4 linked regions of the Nothobranchius furzeri genome follow. The protein of the gene in region 1 interacts with the protein of each later gene in a biochemical or structural test. Links are inferred from orthologs where the notes say so. Each region holds a gene or a part of one and is shown in the gene's direction. Other genes may lie near its edges.

Evidence for each region. The genes of interacting proteins can lie anywhere in the genome.
Region 2: of the proteins of badb (region 1) and pak1, one has a biochemical effect on the other in vitro, tested with the Homo sapiens proteins (3 studies listed by BioGRID). The link is inferred for Nothobranchius furzeri from reciprocal best matches to the Homo sapiens genes BAD and PAK1.
Region 3: of the proteins of badb (region 1) and raf1a, one has a biochemical effect on the other in vitro, tested with the Homo sapiens proteins (2 studies listed by BioGRID). The link is inferred for Nothobranchius furzeri from reciprocal best matches to the Homo sapiens genes BAD and RAF1.
Region 4: the proteins of badb (region 1) and prkacab form a complex in vitro, tested with the Homo sapiens proteins (2 studies listed by BioGRID, with this or other methods). The link is inferred for Nothobranchius furzeri from reciprocal best matches to the Homo sapiens genes BAD and PRKACA.

Annotation. Positions count from the first base shown.
Region 1 is NC_091754.1:60,872,849-60,876,551, forward strand, and holds part of badb (BCL2 associated agonist of cell death b), read left to right. Parts: intron 1-1,213; 5' UTR 1,214-1,221; coding exon 1,222-1,360; intron 1,361-1,598; coding exon 1,599-1,822; intron 1,823-3,703. UniProt on the Homo sapiens protein: Promotes cell death. Successfully competes for the binding to Bcl-X(L), Bcl-2 and Bcl-W, thereby affecting the level of heterodimerization of these proteins with BAX. Can reverse the death repressor activity of Bcl-X(L), but not that of Bcl-2.
Region 2 is NC_091753.1:60,596,316-60,601,298, forward strand, and holds part of pak1 (serine/threonine-protein kinase PAK 1), read left to right. Parts: intron 1-845; coding exon 846-940; intron 941-1,181; coding exon 1,182-1,329; intron 1,330-1,630; coding exon 1,631-1,668; intron 1,669-4,983. UniProt on the Homo sapiens protein: Protein kinase involved in intracellular signaling pathways downstream of integrins and receptor-type kinases that plays an important role in cytoskeleton dynamics, in cell adhesion, migration, proliferation, apoptosis, mitosis, and in vesicle-mediated transport processes.
Region 3 is NC_091755.1:58,346,545-58,351,948, forward strand, and holds the end of raf1a (raf-1 proto-oncogene, serine/threonine kinase a), read left to right. Parts: intron 1-474; coding exon 475-628; intron 629-1,039; coding exon 1,040-1,159; intron 1,160-1,300; coding exon 1,301-1,325; intron 1,326-1,787; coding exon 1,788-1,897; intron 1,898-1,971; coding exon 1,972-2,089; intron 2,090-2,267; coding exon 2,268-2,352; intron 2,353-2,442; coding exon 2,443-2,619; intron 2,620-2,687; coding exon 2,688-2,734; intron 2,735-2,818; coding exon 2,819-2,937; intron 2,938-3,028; coding exon 3,029-3,160; intron 3,161-3,637; coding exon 3,638-3,772; intron 3,773-3,847; coding exon 3,848-3,997; 3' UTR 3,998-4,221; downstream 4,222-5,404. UniProt on the Homo sapiens protein: Serine/threonine-protein kinase that acts as a regulatory link between the membrane-associated Ras GTPases and the MAPK/ERK cascade, and this critical regulatory link functions as a switch determining cell fate decisions including proliferation, differentiation, apoptosis, survival and oncogenic transformation.
Region 4 is NC_091744.1:6,135,660-6,140,642, reverse strand, and holds part of prkacab (cAMP-dependent protein kinase catalytic subunit alpha), read left to right. Parts: intron 1-1,037; coding exon 1,038-1,166; intron 1,167-4,983.

The DNA of each region.
Region 1 (3,703 bases):
GCTTCATTAGCGAAGCACGGATCCTGGTTTTCAGCGCCAATACCAATTTCTGATTGATGGGATCTGACCTGATTAGATCTATAATGGGCCGATATCCACCACTCTCTAATAAATCGACAGACAGACACACCTGTTCAGTAGAGCTGATTTAAAGTCAGGCGCGTCCACGGGCAGCACGGCGTTAGCGCCAAATTTTATTTATGTTCCTGAATGCTCTAAAACATGTTTGTCAACTGATACCTTTTATTTATCTGTTTGATGTTGAATTCTTTATAAAAAAATTATTAATTTTGTTTCTGTAAATTGCAATAAATTAAGATTCAACAGTTACGTTTTCTTAAATGGTTATCAGATCGATGGGACTAATCAGCTATCGGCTGATCATCACCTCTTCATATTGGTATCGGCACCAGAAAAGCTCACATTGGTCCAACTCTAATAAAAATTCATCCTAATTTTTATTTTAATAATGATTACCTTCAAAATTAGGGCTGCACAATATATCATAAATATATCGTTATTGTGATATCAGCATGCACAATGTGCATATCGCAAAGATCAGATAAATATCGTCAGCTCAAATGTTTGCTACACATGATGCATGCTGTCAGTCAAACAGAAGCCTGATGTTTTTTTAACACAGCAAAGAGAACACTTCACCCATTTGGCCAACTGGATGGGTTCTCATAGGTCAGAGTCCCGACCCCGAGGCGGACGGCACCTAATTTTAATGGCTAGCAAACACCTGAGTTAGCTTAGTTCTGCTCTTTCTACTGATTCTGCTTTTCCCGGGATCCACCGATTGCCTTTTCTTATTCATTTTCTTTTCCCTTTCCTCCCATCTTTTGCTTTTCTCATCTTTATGACTTTTTTATGTCTTTGTTTTTGATTATTTTTGTTCCTGAGTTAAGTTTTTATTTATCGCAAGTGATATCGTCATCGCAATATTAATCATTGTCATCGAATATCGCAGGTTTTCCTAATATCGTGCAGCCTCATTCAAAATGATGATTCTGGAAGTAAAAACTTCCCCGTGGGATTTCCGTCTAGCATGAATTAGCGCTTGGCGATGGCTAATCTACAGATCTGCACAAATCAAGCTGGTATTTAGCATATTTAGCCTTAACGGGTACAGATCCTGTAAAATGATGATAGCCTATAAGGTTAAAGTGATTCTCCTTGAGTCATGCGAAGCACGTCATTTCTCCTCCAGATGTTACGATGGCTGCCCACTTCACGATCTCAGACAGTGACTCGGAGCCGTCGGAAGAGGTGGAGGAGGGAGAGAAGAAGCAGCCGTCAGCGGGTCAAGAGGAGAGCGTTCGCCCACACCCCAACCTGCCTGAGCTCAGGCTCCCGTGTAAGCAAACACAAGGGATTAGCGGAGCGAGGCTCCACAGTATTATTACTGCAAGCATGTTTCTGTTCTTCAAACAAATACACTAAGGACATCACTAGAGATTCAGGCAAGGTTTTCCCTCTCTGTGTGCAGTAAGTAAATAAAATAAATGTCTTGTGTTACAAAGTGAAACCGGTTCTTTGGTTGGTGCGTGGACATGTTGTCTTTCCGTGTTTTCACCATCCATTCTCTCGTGCAGTGAATGGTCGGATCAGGCTCAACTCGGAGTCCCACGTTTCCAACGTCTCCAGAGATGAGGATCTCCTGGCCAGGGTGGCGGAGGAGGAGCCTGGGACCCCTACAGAGGGGTTCCCATTCAGAGGGAGATCAAAGTCTGCTCCTCCAGCCCTGTGGGCCGCCAAGAAGTACGGCCGGCAGCTCCGAAGGATGAGCGACGAGTTCGACAGCCTGCTGGACAAAGGGGTGAGGAGACGCCTCTGGGCTGTAGCTCTAGGCGAGTCCTTGTTGGGACAGAGGAACTGGTTTGGGTAAATGGTTAACTGCCTAGAGGACAGATGAGCTCATGTCCGGTCTAAACCAGCCGAGAACAAAGTGTGTGTCATCGTCGAAACCTTTACACCACCATTAATGAAGATAACCCTTTACTGCTCCCTACACGGGGAACTTCCCACCCCGCCGCAGCAACAGGACTATAAAAACAACAAGGATTAACAATAAAACACAAGTTAGTTATATAAGTGTACAGATTGAGGATGTTAAGGCGTCCTGTTTCCTCGGGTTTTCTGGGGGCTTAAAGCTGAAATCTGGAGTTTTGTGTCAGAAGGCACCATCTAGAGGTGGAAAAACGTATTGCATCATCAGCCGGTCTTCCTGCTTCCTTAATTATGGTTAAAACCAACGCCTCTCGTCCGTGAACGCGCACCTCTGGTTGTCCAACAGAGCTAAACTACTGTGTTTTACAGCTATTATTCTTACACGATGCTGTTTATTCGTATGTATGAGGGCTTTGGGGGGACCTTAGCAAAATAAATGATGTATTCTCCGAGCTCCGTTGTCGATTTGCCATGATGTGTTGTTTCTCCGGTGATTCTGCACGAACGCTGAGCTGGAGTGGCACTACAGCGCATGTGCCTCGACTTATAGAAGGAGCGGGGCAGGAACCAAACGTGCAGCAGCAGGCGAGATTGACCACAATGATTAGTACTGTCAATAGTATTGTACTTGGCAAAGTAGATAAAGAAGAAATACGAAACACTGTAAAAAACTGTGGAAACAAACGATCAACCGATTATCAGGATCTGGACATGATAACTGTTAAAACCATCATGGAATCCGTCATTGAACCATTCACTTACATTTGTAATCTATCACTTTCTACTGGAAATTTCCTGACGCAATGAAAACAGCAAAAGTCATTCCTTTGTGTAAGAGTGGTGATAAACGTAGTTTCAATAATTACAGGCCGGTGTCACTGCTTCCACAGTTTTCTAAAATATTGGAAAAAGTATTTGTATCAAGGTTGAATAAATTCATCGAAAAAAATATTTTAAACAATAAACAATGTGAGTTTAGAACTAAACATTCCACAGCAATGGCAATAATGGAATTAGTGGGTAAAATATCAACAGCAGTTGACAATAAAAACGACTTTGTTAATGTTTTCATTGATTTGAAAAAAGCTTTTGACGTCATTGATCACTCAAGGTTACTTCGAAAATTAAGTCCGTATGGATTAAGAGGCGTGTCTCATCAGTGGGTTAAAACTTATTTAGAAAAAAGGAAACAGTTTGTTCAGATAGAGGACCATAAATCAAAACTATGTGAAATTAATTGTGGAGTGCCACAAGGGTCGGTCCTCGAACCAAAACTGTTCATTTTGTTTAACGACTTGGTAAATGCATCTAAGACACTCGGTACCATTCTATTTGCAGATGATACAACACTGTTTTATTCAGGATCAAATATTGAGGAGGTGGCTAAAGTGATAAATGATGAACTGATTAAAATTAAAAACCGGTTTGATACAAATACATTGACACTGAATCTTAATAAAACTAATTTTATTCTGTTTAATGATAAAAAGAACAGTGATGTGTCATTGGAAATAGATGGGATTGAAATTCAAAGAGTAAAAGAAACTAAATTTCTTGGAGTTCTTATTGAAGACTTGTCATGGAAATCCCGTATTAGTTACATAAAAGGTAAAATTGCCAAATCCTTAGGAGTATTACATAGAGTCAAGTTTTTACTGACTAATTCTGGTTTGTTGGCATTGTACAATTCACTGATTGTTCCATACTCGATTTATTGTGTAGAAATCTGGGGAGCGACATACAAAAGCTA
Region 2 (4,983 bases), on another chromosome or scaffold:
TCATCCCAGAGGGAAATTAGAGTTTCAGTACACACAATTCTGAGATCAGACATACAGACAAAGGCATACATGACAAGAGTTGGTGACTGTGGTCATTCGCAACCCGAGTCGCGCTACCTTAATGGAGATCAGAGGGTTTATATGAGGATTGAGTCAGGTGGAGGAAAAAAATGCACTTCAGAATTTCCTGACGGTCTCCTCAGAGGACTCCCGGTCGGTAAAAAACACGCAGTAATGATCATAGTCAGCCAAGTCTACAGAGCACACGGGTGGACAAACCAAGTCTAGGGTGTGCCCTCTGTTGTGAGTTGGCTGAGTGACATGTTGGCTAAAACCCGTATAATTAAGACCATTTAAAAGTCAGTAGAAAAAGCATCTAAAAGGTTATCCACATGTAAGTGAAACCACCTGCTGAAGTGATGCGGTCATAAGAGTTGAGGTGTGCTATTTTGGGAGGTTAGGAGGTGCGTCTGGGTCCTCCAGCTGGTGTAACCTTGGCTTTGCAGCTCTGGCGTGAATGAAAGGTTCCTGTCAGTTCGATGGTAAAAGCTGACCCTTGTGATTCATTACTGCTTTTATTGTCTCATTCATTTTGGCCCTTTGTTCCTTCTTGGTTTTAAACTAGATATTTTCTGTGAAGAACTTTGGTCAGCTCGGCTGTTGCTACACAAAACGCTCCGTACCATCTTTTCTTGTTCTTATTGTGTCCTGATCATTATTTATTTGAACCTCATCAACCAAAGGATTTTCTGTCGTAAGAAATTCAATATGACATTTATTATAAACGCTCAGTGTTTAGGCTTAACTACATGATGCTTTAGTTTAATGTTTTCTTTTATGTGTAGCTTATCGGAAGAAGGAGCGTCCAGAGATTTCTCTTCCTTCTGACTTTGAACACACCATCCACGTCGGTTTTGATGCTGTCACTGGGGAGTTCACTGTGAGTGTGTTTGTGTTGTCTTCTTTTATTGTTCTGGGTCACAGTTAACTTCTATACAAAACACATGCAAATAATCTTTAAATAAAAACGGGTGATTAAACATGAGCTGACGGTGGATGGCTGGAGAACTGACCCTGCCAGATAAGAGAACAGGAACATTTAATGTGACACGTATTTCTAACTGAAGGTAAACTGCGCATGTGCGTCCGTATGTGTGTGCATTTGTGCGTGTTTGTGACAGGGGATGCCGGAGCAGTGGGCCCGGCTGCTGCAGACGTCCAACATCACTAAACTGGAGCAGAAGAAGAACCCTCAAGCGGTCCTGGACGTTCTGAAGTTCTACGACTCTAAGGAAAAGGCCAACTGTCAGAAGTACATGAGCTTTACAGGCGAGTTGACGATTCGTCATCAGGAGAAAATATTTTAGTTTCTACAACCAGCAGCAGCTCAGATGCTGGACCTAACCCTCAAACAGAATTCAACATCAAGTTTGAGGAATGGATCCACGTTACAGCTCAGGGTTTATGAAGCTGATCACAACAAATAACATGATTTTTTTTGTCTGTTGAAACTGTTGAAACTGTTGGGTAAAATTGGTAAATGTTGGTAAATGTTGGTAAATGTTGGTAAATGTTGGTAAAATCACTCCTGACATAAAAGTAAACGAGCTCGTCTTTTCTTTTCCTGCAGATAAAAACACTGATGCGTACAACTCCAGCACCACCACGGTAAGACCGCATCACGTCTCTGTGGGGTTCATCTTCTTACAGTTGATGGTAATTAGGCATGGGTACCTTTGGCATTTGAGTCGATAAGGTACCAATCCCGGTACCTGCAAATCGATACCGGTACTTAGCGGTACAAATTTCTGATACTTGTGAGTGTTTAATAATAATTTAAATGCCTTTTTATATTAATGAAATATATATTTTCCCAATTTATAACCATATTTGATAAATATGATGATAAATAATGTATTTTATCATCGTAGTGTTGTACAAAGTTCTTCTACATGAAAACCTTTAACAAAGCCAGCTCCATGGACTCCTAATCCTCTTCTAATCCCTCTGGAATAAATCTGATGAGGAGACCATGTGTTATAAACTACAGATGAAACTTAAACAAACTTCAATACCTACAACAGTTTGTATTTTACAGGGTTCGTACGGTCATGAAAAACCTGGAAAAGTTATGGAAAACCATAGCTAAAAAAGTGTATGAACCCTGATTTTAGTATTGAGGTGTTTCACTAACTAAACCAACTTCAGGTACTCCTGTTCCTCTCCTTTCTCCTCTGGACCAACTGTGTGATGGTGGTCCTTGTACGTTTATAAACTGTGTGATGGTGGTCCTTGTACGTTTATAAACTGTGTGATGGTGGTCCTTGTACGTTTATAAACTGTGTGATGGTGGTCCTTGTAGTTTTATAAACTGTGTGATGGTGGTCCTTGTACGTTTATAAACTGTGTGATGGTGGTCCTTGTACGTTTATAAACTGTGTGATGGTGGTCCTTGTACGTTTATAAACTGTGTGATGGTGGTCCTTGTACGTTTATAAACTGTGTGATGGTGGTCCTTGTACGTTTATAAACTGTGTGATGGTGGTCCTTGTACGTTTATAAACTGTGTGATGGTGGTCCTTGTACGTTTATAAACTGTGTGATGGTGGTCCTTGTACGTTTATAAACTGTGTGATGGTGGTCCTTGTACGTTTATAAACTGTGTGATGGTGGTCCTTGTACATTTATAAACTGTGTGATGGTGGTCCTTGTACGTTTATAAACTGTGTGATGGTGGTCCTTGTACGTTTATAAACTGTGTGATGGTGGTCCTTGTCGTTTATAAACTGTGTGATGGTGGTCCTTGTACGTTTATAAACTGTGTGATGGTGGTCCTTGTACGTTTATAAACTGTGTGATGGTGGTCCTTGTACGTTTATAAACTGTGTGATGGTGGTCCTTGTACGTTTATAAACTGTGTGATGGTGGTCCTTGTACGTTTATAAACTGTGTGATGGTGGTCCTTGTACGTTTATAAACTGTGTGATGGTGGTCCTTGTACGTTTATAAACTGTGTGAGGGTGGTCCTTGTACGTTTATAAACTGTGTGAGGGTGGTCCTTGTACGTTTATAAACTGTGTGAGGGTGGTCCTTGTACGTTTATAAACTGTGTGATGGTGGTCCTTGTACGTTTATAAACTGTGTGAGGGTGGTCCTTGTACGTTTATAAACTGTGATGGTGGTCTTTGTAGTTTAGAAACTATGTGATGGTGGTCCTTGTAGTTTTATAAACTGTGTGATGGTGGTCCTTGTAGTTTTAGAAACTATGTGATGGTGGTCCTTGTAGTTTTATAAACTGTGTGATGGTGGTCTTTGTAGTTTTGTAAACTGTGTGATGGTGGTCCTTGTAGTTTAGAAACTGTGTGATGGTGGTCCTTGTAGATTATAAACTGTGATGGTGGTCCTTGTAGTTTATAAAATGTGATGGTGGTCCTTGTAGTTTTATAAACTGTGTGATGGTGGTCCTTGTAGTTTAATAAACTGTGTGATGGTGGTCCTTGTAGTTAAAAAACTGTGTGATGGTGGTCCTTGTAGATTATAAACTGTGATGGTGGTCCTTGTAGTTTTATAAACTGTGTGATGGTGGTCCTTGTAGTTTTATAAACTGTGTGATGGTGGTCCTTGTAGTTTATAAACTGTGATGGTGGTCCTTGTAGTTTTATAAACTATGTGATGGTGGTCCTTGTACGTTTATAAACTGTGTGATGGTGGACGGTCCTTGTACGTTTATAAACTGTGTGATGGTGGACGGTCCTTGTACGTTTATAAACAGTGTGATGGTGGTCCTTGTACGTTTATAAACTGTGTGAGGGTGGTGCTTGTACGTTTATAAACTGTGTGATGGTGGTCCTTGTACGATTATAAACTGTGTGATGGTGGTCCTTGTAGTTTTATAAACTGTGTGATGGTGGTGCTTGTACGTTTATAAACTGTGTGATGGTGGTCCTTGTACGTTTATAAACTGTGTGATGGTGGTCCTTGTACGTTTATAAACTGTGTGATGGTGGTCCTTGTACGTTTATAAACTGTGTGATGGTGGTCCTTGTACGTTTATAAACTGTGTGATGGTGGTCCTTGTACATTTATAAACTGTGTGATGGTGGTCCTTGTAGTTTTATAAACTGTGTGAGGGTGGTGCTTGTACGTTTATAAACTGTGATGGTGGTCTTTGTAGTTTAGAAACTATGTGATGGTGGTCCTTGTACGTTTATAAACTGTGTGATGGTGGTCCTTGTAGTTTTATAAACTATGTGATGGTGGTCCTTGTAGTTTTATAAACTGTGTTATGGTGGTCTTTGTAGTTTTGTAAACTGTGTGATGGTGGTCCTTGTAGTTTAGAAACTATGATGGTGGTCCTTGTAGATTATAAACTGTGATGGTGGTCCTTGTAGTTTATAAACTGTGATGGTGGTCCTTGTAGTTTTATAAACTGTGTGAGGGTGGTGCTTGTACGTTTATAAACTGTGATGGTGGTCTTTGTAGTTTAGAAACTATGTGATGGTGGTCCTTGTACGTTTATAAACTGTGTGATGGTGGTCCTTGTAGTTTTATAAACTATGTGATGGTGGTCCTTGTAGTTTTATAAACTGTGTTATGGTGGTCTTTGTAGTTTTGTAAACTGTGTGATGGTGGTCCTTGTAGTTTAGAAACTGTGATGGTGGTCCTTGTAGATTATAAACTGTGATGGTGGTCCTTGTAGTTTATAAACTGTGATGGTGGTCCTTGTAGTTTTATAAACTGTGTGATGGTGGTCCTTGTAGTTTTATAAACTGTGTGATGGTGGTCCTTGTAGTTTTATAAACTGTGTGATGGTGGTCCTTGTAGTTTATAAACTGTGATGGTGGTCCTTGTAGTTTTATAAACTATGTGATGGTGGTCCTTGTACGTTTATAAACTGTGTGATGGTGGTCCTTGTACGTTTATAAACTGTGTGATGGTGGTCCTTGTAGTTTATAAACTGTGATGGTGGTCCTTGTAGTTTTA
Region 3 (5,404 bases), on another chromosome or scaffold:
GCGGGACTGCTCATGAAGAACACCAAGGCGAGGTTCTGCTCAAAAACACAAACAGCCGGTTCCTCTGCGCCGCTTCTGGACGATTTCTCTGCAGATCCGAGAGCGGCTTTGCGCTGCTGTAGGATTAGCATATCTGGCTGGAAGGTTTTGTGCTCTTTAACCGATCTGGACACAAAGCCGCTCAGCCACACACGGCTAAAGAGGAAGACCAGTAACAAATACGAGCCCACTAGCTACTTCCCTTAAACAATGTAGTTTCACTCTTTGCTGTTTACCACACAGCTAAGGCATGTAATGGCTTCTGGTGCTGAATGTGTGGCAGTAGTCCAACGTAAACAAGGGTGCTTGACTGAGGAGAGTTAATGAGGCCACCTCACCCACACCCACACCCTCACCCGAAGATGTGGCCGACAGAAGCATCCACTGCTGGTTTGGTCGTTTTTAGCTAAAGGCTCGATTGTCATCCTGTCACAGCTCAGCCCACCGAAATTCCACCCCCCACGCCTTCAACTACGCCACATCGTACCAACCCACAGGCGGCGGTCTCTCCCAACGGCAGCGCTCCACCTCCACGCCCAACGTCCACATGGTCAGCACCGCCCTGCCCGTGGACAGCACCACCATCGAGGTAACAAGTTCTGGCTGCAGCTCCTAAAATCCCTCATGTCCTAAAATGTCGTCCTCCTCCTCTCATCTGAGGCCTTCCTGCTGTCCACTCCTGCTTCAGACCTTTATTATTATTATTATTATTATTATTATTACTACACCTGAGCACAATCTCTCTTCCTCTGACCACATTTTATTTCAGCATGTTTTAAATGCTCTTGCACATTTCCCACACTTCCGCTTGTTCACTTCCACTTTAGGCGTTATCTCCATCCTTAGTCTTGCACAACCACCTCACAAGTGGTTTCATAATCCACCTTTTTTCTGCTCAGGTAGGAATCCACATGTTCTTCCTCTCTTTCCTTGACTCTGTCCCCTTTTGTCCCTCCTGTCTCCCTGTGGGTCTGTTGTTTTGTACCCTACTGGAGAGCAGCTAGACTGCTTGAATACCTCTCCCGTCTTCTGGTGCCACAGATTCTGGCTGAAGAGGAAAGTAGGTATTGTGCACTTCTCCCAGGCTTTTGTGGAGACCTCACCTGTGAGTCCAGGACAGGTTAGAAAGCAGAGACTCTGTGTGAAGCGCATGTCTGCATTCTCATCTTTAGTCAATGCAGCCGTCAAATCATCAGTGGTAGCACGTCACATTTGTGCTAATTTGATCATTTATTCTAATATAATGTTTTTTTTCCTATAGCATGTGATGCGTGATCATGACTCTGGTAAGTACCCGTTCAGCCGTCTTCCTGGTTTCTAATCATGCACATGTAATAGTCATTTAGAAGGAAGTGATGTCCAATCAGACTCGGTGAGACACCCGTAGCTGTCCACAGTGCTTTAGCATTGGTGATCATGTTGGCGTAAGAGAAGGGATGTTAAAACCAAAACAAAGCTTTGAGAAATAAATCTGTTGATTTGGAAGTAGGCTGGTGGGTTTGTTGGGTGTTTGCCGAGACTCGACGCCCCCAAACTTCCGAATTTACTAATAGAAAGACTCCAGGTCATCAGGTGTTCTGCGTTACCCCAACCGTTAGCTGCAGAACGACCCACGGGGTCGTAACAGTGCTAATAATCACTGAGCTGTGACTTAAGTCAAAATGATGAGTGACAGAAGTAGTGGAAGGAAGTTTGATGCAGTATGAAAATTACAAAATAAAGAATAAATAACTTATTTGTTTTCACAGCGGGAAATTCCCCCAACCAGAGCCCCACAGGCTGGTCCCAGTCCAAAGCTCCCCCGCCTCACCAGCGTGAAAAAATCACCTCCTTCAGCAATCAGGAGAAAAACAAAATTGTGAGTCAAAATTTCTGACGTGTGTGTTAGCCGAAGCTTCTGTGTTCAGACCTTTTTGCTTTCTCTTCTCGCAGAGGCCCCGGGATAAGAGAGACTCCAGTTATTACTGGGAGATCGAGGCCAGCGAGGTGTGTCTGCAGTCCCGCATCGGTTCGGGCTCTTTTGGAACAGTGTTCAAAGGAAAATGGCACGGTAGGAATGCAGTTAGCATGAGTCAGAACCTCTCACACGGTGGCTTAGATGTTGACAGATGTGTTCAGGAGTTCTTCGACTCATTAAACGCGTGAAAAACTACAGCTTCATGCATCATTTCTTGTCAAACTAGCCCTGTAGGGCCAAAATAACCCAAAGTTGTGCATTTTTGTTGCAGGTGACGTAGCAGTGAAGATTTTAAAGGTCACCAACCCCACACCGGAGCAGTTCCAGGCGTTCAGAAACGAAGTGGCAGTCCTAAGGTTACAGCTAGTTCCACACCAGCTAACTGTTAAAATCTTAGTTTAGCTACAAAATAATGATTTCCTCTTCCCCTCCACCCCTGGTTGCAGGAAAACGCGACATGTGAACATCCTTTTGTTTATGGGCTACATGACGAAGGACAACCTGGCCATCGTGACCCAGTGGTGCGAGGGCAGCAGCTTGTACAAACACATTCACGTCCTGGAGACCAACTTCAAGATGATCCAGCTCATCGATATTGCCAGGCAGACGGCTCAGGGCATGGAGTAAGCTTAAAAAACAACGGCAAGTTACAGATAAATCAGATGATGATAGCTTTGTCCCTCTTTTCCAGCTATTTACATGCTAAGAGCATCATTCATCGTGACATGAAGTCCAACAGTATCCTTTCTCTGAACGTCTCACAGTGAGTGAATGAAAACGTCCCACTGTGTGTTTGGTTATGATTCCCTGACCTCAGCGCAGACATCTTCCTGCATGAGGGGCTGACGGTGAAAATCGGGGATTTTGGTCTCGCCACGGTGAAGGCTAGGTGGAGCGGCTCCCAGCAGGTGGAGCAGCCTTCTGGATCCATTCTTTGGATGGTGAGACACCTGCTACTCGAACCCTGCTGGGACCGTGACGGTGAACGAGGAAGACTCTCCGTGATGATTCTGTTGCTATTGTCATTGCCAGGCACCCGAGGTTATCCGGATGCAGGATAATAATCCCTACAGCTTCCAGTCTGATGTGTATTCCTATGGAATTGTTCTCTTTGAGCTGATGACGGGAGAGCTCCCGTACTCGCAGACGGCGAACAGAGATCAGGTAAACACCTTAGTCCCTGTGTAAGCCCACAGTCGGACGTGTGTCAGAGCTCAGGCCCACCGTGGAGCTCAGGAGGGGTGAAGGGGGTTGTGGAGCTGGCCTAAGGCCTGCCATGCAGCCCAGGCGGACTCTGTGGAGCCGCTGGCCTAATTTTAGTCCTCGTAACACAACCCTGTGGGAGGGAAGAGCATTAAAGCACGCGTGTAGATGTGTTGGTCCTCTCAGGCCACGAGGTCCAGCCTGACTTATGGAGATGAGACGAAAGCTCTGGACCACTTTCCAGGTACTTTGTTCTGCTGAGCTGCCTCTGGTGTGCTAGGTGTCTGACACCGTAGACGCACGCACTGTAACTAAAGAATGACTGCTGATTCACCATCGATCAGCTGTCCTCCCACCCTTGCACTGACCTCTGCTGGATTTTTAAACGGGATCGTTTTCCTCCTGGCTCCATATTTATGTCTCCTGTTTTCTGTTCAGATCATTTTCATGGTGGGAAGAGGCTATTTGTCCCCAGACCTCAGTAAGCTCTACAAGAACTGTCCCAAAGCCATGAAAAGGTTGGTGGCCGACTGCATCAAGAAGCTCAAGGATGAAAGGCCGCTCTTTCCTCAGGTGAGCCTCTGGTTCCAGCTGTTGGCAGGATTACAGATGTTCCTGTTGAGTTCATTCATTCATTTACTCCCATAGATCCTGTCCTCCATCGAGCTCCTCCAGCACGCTCTCCCCAAGATAAACCGCAGCGCCTCAGAGCCGTCCCTGCACAGAGCCTCACAGGCCGAGGACATCAACACGTGCACGCTGACCTCCACCAGACTGCCTGTTTTAAGCCTGTTTTAAGCTCTTGGAGAATATCGGCACCTCCTCCTCCTCCTCCTCTCCTCACACGACGGCTCTTCCTGTTCACAAATACACAATCTTAGATGCCCTACAGACATTTGTCATTTCAGACATGCTAAATAATAAATGTGTGAGTTAAAGAGAAGAGAAATCCTTAGAGGGTCAGGATATGGTACATCCCCCTATTAGGAGGCAGAACGAGGCTTCGTGTTGGTGAATTATTTGTAAATAAATAAATACACCCGTGCTACCTAAGATGACGGATGGACGCTGAAGGAGGCTCAGGAGGCACACGCCATCCTTTTGATCAAACCTCCCTGGTTTACGACGAAGAGGACTCTTATTTTTTTTAAGCTTACCTGCCTTAAGAGGAAACAACCTCAACTGTATTTCTGCACAATCTCACCTCCTCTGGTTATCACAAAGCCGTTGGAAGTTGTCCATCTTATTGCACAGTAGCAGATTACGTCTTAAATCGTAACGGACTAGACTTGGGATTTTTGTTTGTGTAACTTTACTTTTGGGTTTTGGATCCGGTCTGTCAGCGAGCGTCTCACTAGACCGAACCCTCCGCGTCGCGAGCTGGACGCTCGGCAGGTGTCTTAAATATTTAAAGTGACTTGGGAACTAATTTGTTTTGTTATGTCACACTGATGAGGTTGAATGTTTTATTTGCTATTTTAATAAAGTTAAGTGAAAAAGCCAAGAACAGATTCTTCTTGAAAACAGATGTGTGTGTGTGTGTTCATTACATGAGCCTTCATTACATGATATTTGTGGGTGAAAACTGATTGTAATCTATTCTTGTGAGCTGAAGTCCCACTCGTGTGCACAGTCTTTTATCAGGATGTAGTGTTTGTTGTGGCGCCATGGCAACAAGGTGCAGCCTCGCAGGAGATCCAGCCTACTCAGGGCTTCCACCACTGGCTGATCCCTCACCGACGGGCTGAGTGCAACAGCAGGACAGGGACTTGGCCAGGGGCAGAGGACAGTTGTACTTTGTTGATACTAAAACATTCAGCAGACTGAGGCTGTGGGACATCACAGCTCAACGTTCAGGTTTACAGTAAATACACAAATGTTTGTGTTTAGCTAAATATGGCAATGACTTAAAAAATCTTTCACAGACAAGAATTTGGCCAGATGCTTTAAAAAAAGGGCTTAATTCTTGTGAATCTTTCACACAGACGGAGAGTTCATGTTGCATCAAAAGTGTTTCTTTCTGAAACTGCCCTGCTAAAGGTTTATCTGTTCTATATCTACATCCTGACTGACTCGATGCCCTACTTCGTTGTCATGCAACGTCTTCATCTTTTTTGTTCTGATTTGAGTTTTTGCAAAAGGAAAAGTTTTCAAAACAAAATTGGTTTAGCTTAAAATAAACGTTCAGGTTGCTTACAGGTTAAA
Region 4 (4,983 bases), on another chromosome or scaffold:
CTCAGTTCATATTGCATTGAGCTCTACGGGACAGGGGGTGGGCTTAGCAAAAAAAGAGGGTGTGTTTCCTACATTATATCACATACATGAATGATAAGACAACGACTTTTATGTATTTCTGAAAGATCATACACAATTCTTGAAAGGGGAAAACTCCAAACAGCAGATTTAAATGCATTTTCTGGTCAGCAAAGAGGTGCAGAGTGCTGTCCCATGTGAAGTTGATAATCACTGAACCCCACTTTTGAAGGGATTGGTTAAAGTGTAAAAATCTGCTTAGTGTTGCTTTAATGTGAGGACACAGAATTTAATTTGACTTCTTTTTTTGTTGAAACTGTTGATTTTGAAAAAATCATCCACACTTGCAAGGTCCACACACACACACACACACACACACACACACACACACACACACACACACACACACACACACACACACACACACACACACACACACACAGACAATGATCCCATAAAACTAGGTGAAATTAGAAATGCAAACCAAACAACTGCTTTATCATAAATAGTTGTCATATATTTCTATGGCTTCAATTTCCAGGCGCTGTTCCTGATAATTATCAGATAACTTACATCCATGTATCATAATATTCTTTAGATTTCTTACAGTGTAGTCTAAATCACCAGAAATGGAACATGTTGCATAATATATTTAGACGTTTTCACGTTTCCATGTGTATTTCTCATTAAGTCTACTGTAATATGATGTAACCTCATTTGCATGATCCAGTAGGTGGTAAAGAGTGTCAAAGTTTATATTATTACTTTAAAAATATGTTTACAAAACAAAATTTTCAAGAAAGTGAAAAATCAATAAAATAAATATTTTAAACGGCTCCCTGTAAACCAGGTGTCAGAGATTATATCTACTGTGTATTTCTAAAGATCACACATTTATATACACTAAATGATTCACATGCAGCATGCTGCTAGCACTATATGAATATAGATATTCCCAACATAACCCAACCCAAACGTCAGATTTTCACCTGCTAACCATTTTTGTTTTGTTTCTTCAGAACACTGCTAGCCTGGAGCAGTTTGAGAGGTTGAAAACTCTGGGCACGGGCTCATTTGGTCGTGTTATGCTGGTGAAGCACAGAGAAACTGGCCAGCATTACGCCATGAAGATCCTCAATAAGCAGAAGGTCAGTCTGGGTCAGGAGCTGGCTGGGTTATGGGAAAGGGAGGTGGGGCAAGGCTTTTTAATAAGTCTGTCTATAGGGGGTGTAAAGGATTCTTGTGCAAGGACTCAAATCCAGGTGCAAGCCTGATCCAAAAGCAGGAAAATAGGTATCATCTGCAGGCATTGTCTTTATGCAGATCACACTCAATACAGCAGTTTTGAGCAAAACTGTGCATGCGTTTTCTTTTCATTATATCAATAAAATCCATAGATTTAAAGAAAGTACATGATTCCCCTTACTAGACTTAACCTGTGCAAGCAGTATATATCTGCCACATGACGTTCAATGAAAAGAAAAACTAAGTACTAAATAGCTGACTGTCAGTGTCTCCTGGTGAACTTGTGAACTGCCTCATCAAATGCACGCCGGTGTAGCCCACACAAACCTGAGGAGGATAAGCAGATGGATGAATTATCTGATGAATCTCTATTGTTTGATTGTAGATCCTTTAGGTGTGGGCTCTACAAAAATTTGATCCCATTTTCACTAAAATGAAAGGTGTTGAATTAATATAACAAAATACAATTTATAGTTTGTAATGGATGTTGTTTGAACCCTCTAATGAACCAAAGATATTTAAAAAATCAAATATTATTATAGCCTTTATTCAAAAAGTAGAAAATCTCAAGGGGTTTAGAATATATTTTTACAAGAAACTTGCCAAGAAGGCCGTATAAACGCAACAAATATAAAAAACTAAAACAAATATACAACTGATGCAAGTAATTAATTACACCATGTGCTTAAACTGGTCAGCAAGTACGTGAAACAAGCACACTGATCTAAATGGACCTAAATTTCTCCCAAATTACCCATTCCTTTGAAATCCTTTTTATTGTAATCCCAGGAAACAAAGGCAGCATATTTAAATGTTTTATTCAGAAATCACATCTGACTCTGGGGGTAAACTTTTATAAAATATCATGAGTGTAGGCTATATTGGTTTTGATTTTTTAATGCATTAAAACACTAGAAGGATCAAATCCAAGCGGCAGTTAAAAACCAGTAATGGCTTCCTCTCCCCACAGTGAAACAGCCAGCCTTTTCTATTTGCCAGGTGTGTTGATGTAAAGTAGATCACCAAAATTTCATAAAGGCACAAAAAGTGAAGTAGGAAACAAGATTTATTTCCAAAATGGAAACCTCCTTGAAGCTATAATGTAGCCTTTATGTCTAAGATTTAAATGAAAAGTTTCGATCAATAATAATACCTAATTATTTATGAGATGTGACCATGAATTTAGGTTAGGTTTGCATTTAACACCAACTTAAGTTGTGTTAACCATAACTGAGCAACATAAAAGGCAGATTGCAGAGGTTGGATGTTTTAATGAAGATGTAAATGAAGAGCAAAATGCTCAAAAGTTGAATTCAGCATTTTGATAAACTGTCGCAAATACCGTATTGGTCCAAATGTAGGACGACCCTTTCCAAGACTAATCTTCAGGAAAAAACTAAAAAATGACTTTTTAAATAAACTAATTTGAGAACAAATATACAGCAAAAATACTATTTTAATGCAAACTATCAGAACTTTGCTGACATGTGAAATCAAAAGTCAAATGAGGCTTTTATTTAGACACCCTCTGTCTTTCTGTACTCACTCACTCTGCTGCGGTCCTGGTGTACCATCAGATTGTTAAACCTACCGACTCCTCCCAGAACGTCATCCTCACTGCCATCCAATACATTCGTGCATGCAATGTTTAACGGCTTCTGCTTAAATGAGTTATGTGAATCTTAAAATTTGCAAAACTCTACCTTAGTATATTAACTGCCATTGACGACAAATGTCGTCATTTGTCTCTCTTACCCATGGTGTCCCACAAGGTTCTGTGCTGGGGCCCCTGCTCTTCCTCCTCTAGCTCTATCCTCTTCAGCACATCCTGAGCTCCTTCAAAGGAATCTCCTACCATCTTTATGCAGATGACACCCAACTGTACATCTCCTTTAAGCCCCATGAGATGTCTAAGCTGCAGCTGTTACACACCTGCTTAGACTCTATCAAAACCTGGATGGCTGGGAGCTTTCTTCAGCTGAATGAAGATGAGACTGAGATCCTCATCTGTGCCCCAAGCAAGCTGGTTCCCAAAGTCAGAGACTCTCTTGGTCAGCTTGCTTCCCACACCAAACCTTCTGTCAGGAATCTTGGCGTGACCTTTGACCCAGCTCTCACCCTGGATTCTCATGTCAGTTCTCTTGTTCGCTCTTCCTTCTTCCATCTCAGGAACGTTGCTAAGCTGAGTCCCATTCTGTCCCGCTCTGAACTTGAGACAGTTCTCCACACCTTCATCTCCTCACGCTTAGACTACTGTAACTCTTTTCACGTGTCTGAGCAGAACCTCCCTGAACCGTCTACAGGTGGTTCAGAACGCCTGTGCTCGGCTTCTGACCAAGTCCTCCAAATACACCCACATCACCCCGCTTCTCCTCCAGCTTCACTGGCTGCCAGTCAACTTCAGGGCTCATTTCAAGATCCTGGTTCTGGTCTATAGGGCCTTACATGGACAAGCACCATCTTACATTGGTGATCTTCTTAGTCCCTACACCCCCAGCAGGTCCCTGAGGTCCAGTGATCAAAGCCTACTGGTTGTGCAGCACCAGGCTAAAGACCAAAGGTGACAGATCATTTGCTGCTGTGGCCCCCAGACTCTGGAACTCTCTCCCCCTGAGCCTGAGATCAGTGGACTCAGTGGTCTCCTTTTAAAAGCAGCTGAAGACTCACTTGCTCAAGCTGGCTTTTGTATGACCTTCTTCACCACTCTCTCTTTATTCTGCTCTCCCCACCTATTCCATCTTCCTCAGGATCCACTGATTTCCCTCTTTCCTATTCACTCTCTCTCTTTCATAATTTTTTTTCTTTTAAATCCCAATTGCCTATTTTTGCTAATTTTAAATATATTTTTAAACATGTTCTAAATGCTTTTTTATATTTTTACATTTTTTTTTTGTTTTTGTGAAGCGCCTCGTGATTTTTATCTTGAGAGGCGCTATAGAAATTATATTTTCTTCTTCTTCATTTTAAATCCAACCGCTCGCTGCCATTGACGACTAAAGTAGTCATTTGCAATTTTTTACTGTGTGGGCATCGAAGCGAGCCCCCGCACCGTGAGAAAAAACATCCCAGCTCTAAAGCTGATCTTCATCTGCGTTCGTCACATGTCATGTGATCAGGAAGCAGAAAATCCATGTGTTAGGAGATCGTTTTGGGCCGCTGTTGTAAAACAAGTGAGGCACGAACCAGAAAAGCTTCTGCCGATCACAATTCGACAACGGATTATGAAAGAACAGATAATGCTCGAAACGCGTGGATTCTTCCTGATGTAAGAGGTGAGTCTGCTCTTTGTTTTGGTAGTTTTGGCGTTGACATCATCGTAGAGCGCAACGTTCTGTGACTCTTCAGATAAACAGTGAAAACGCTGGCAGTGAGAGGCTTTTCTAATCAGGAAACAGCTGGCCCCACTTTTGGTCCACTCTGCGCCACATCTCTTGTCTCCATTTTCTTTTCCTGTTGTGAACATACAGCCTGGCGCCCTCTGCTGTTACGGGCGTGTGATGGTTAGACCCCGATTATAAGACGCCCCCACATTTTAAAATTATTTTCAATGAAAAAAACCTTGTCTTCGGGTCAATACGGTATTATTTACAAAGGCATTAAAGAGAAGTTGCCCTAGTATGGAACCCTGAGGAACTCCTTAGAGGCTCTTTTCCACTAACATCTTGACGGTTCGGGTGGTTTTCTTTAAAACTGAGAAACGGCTCTAGTGGGTGGGGTTGT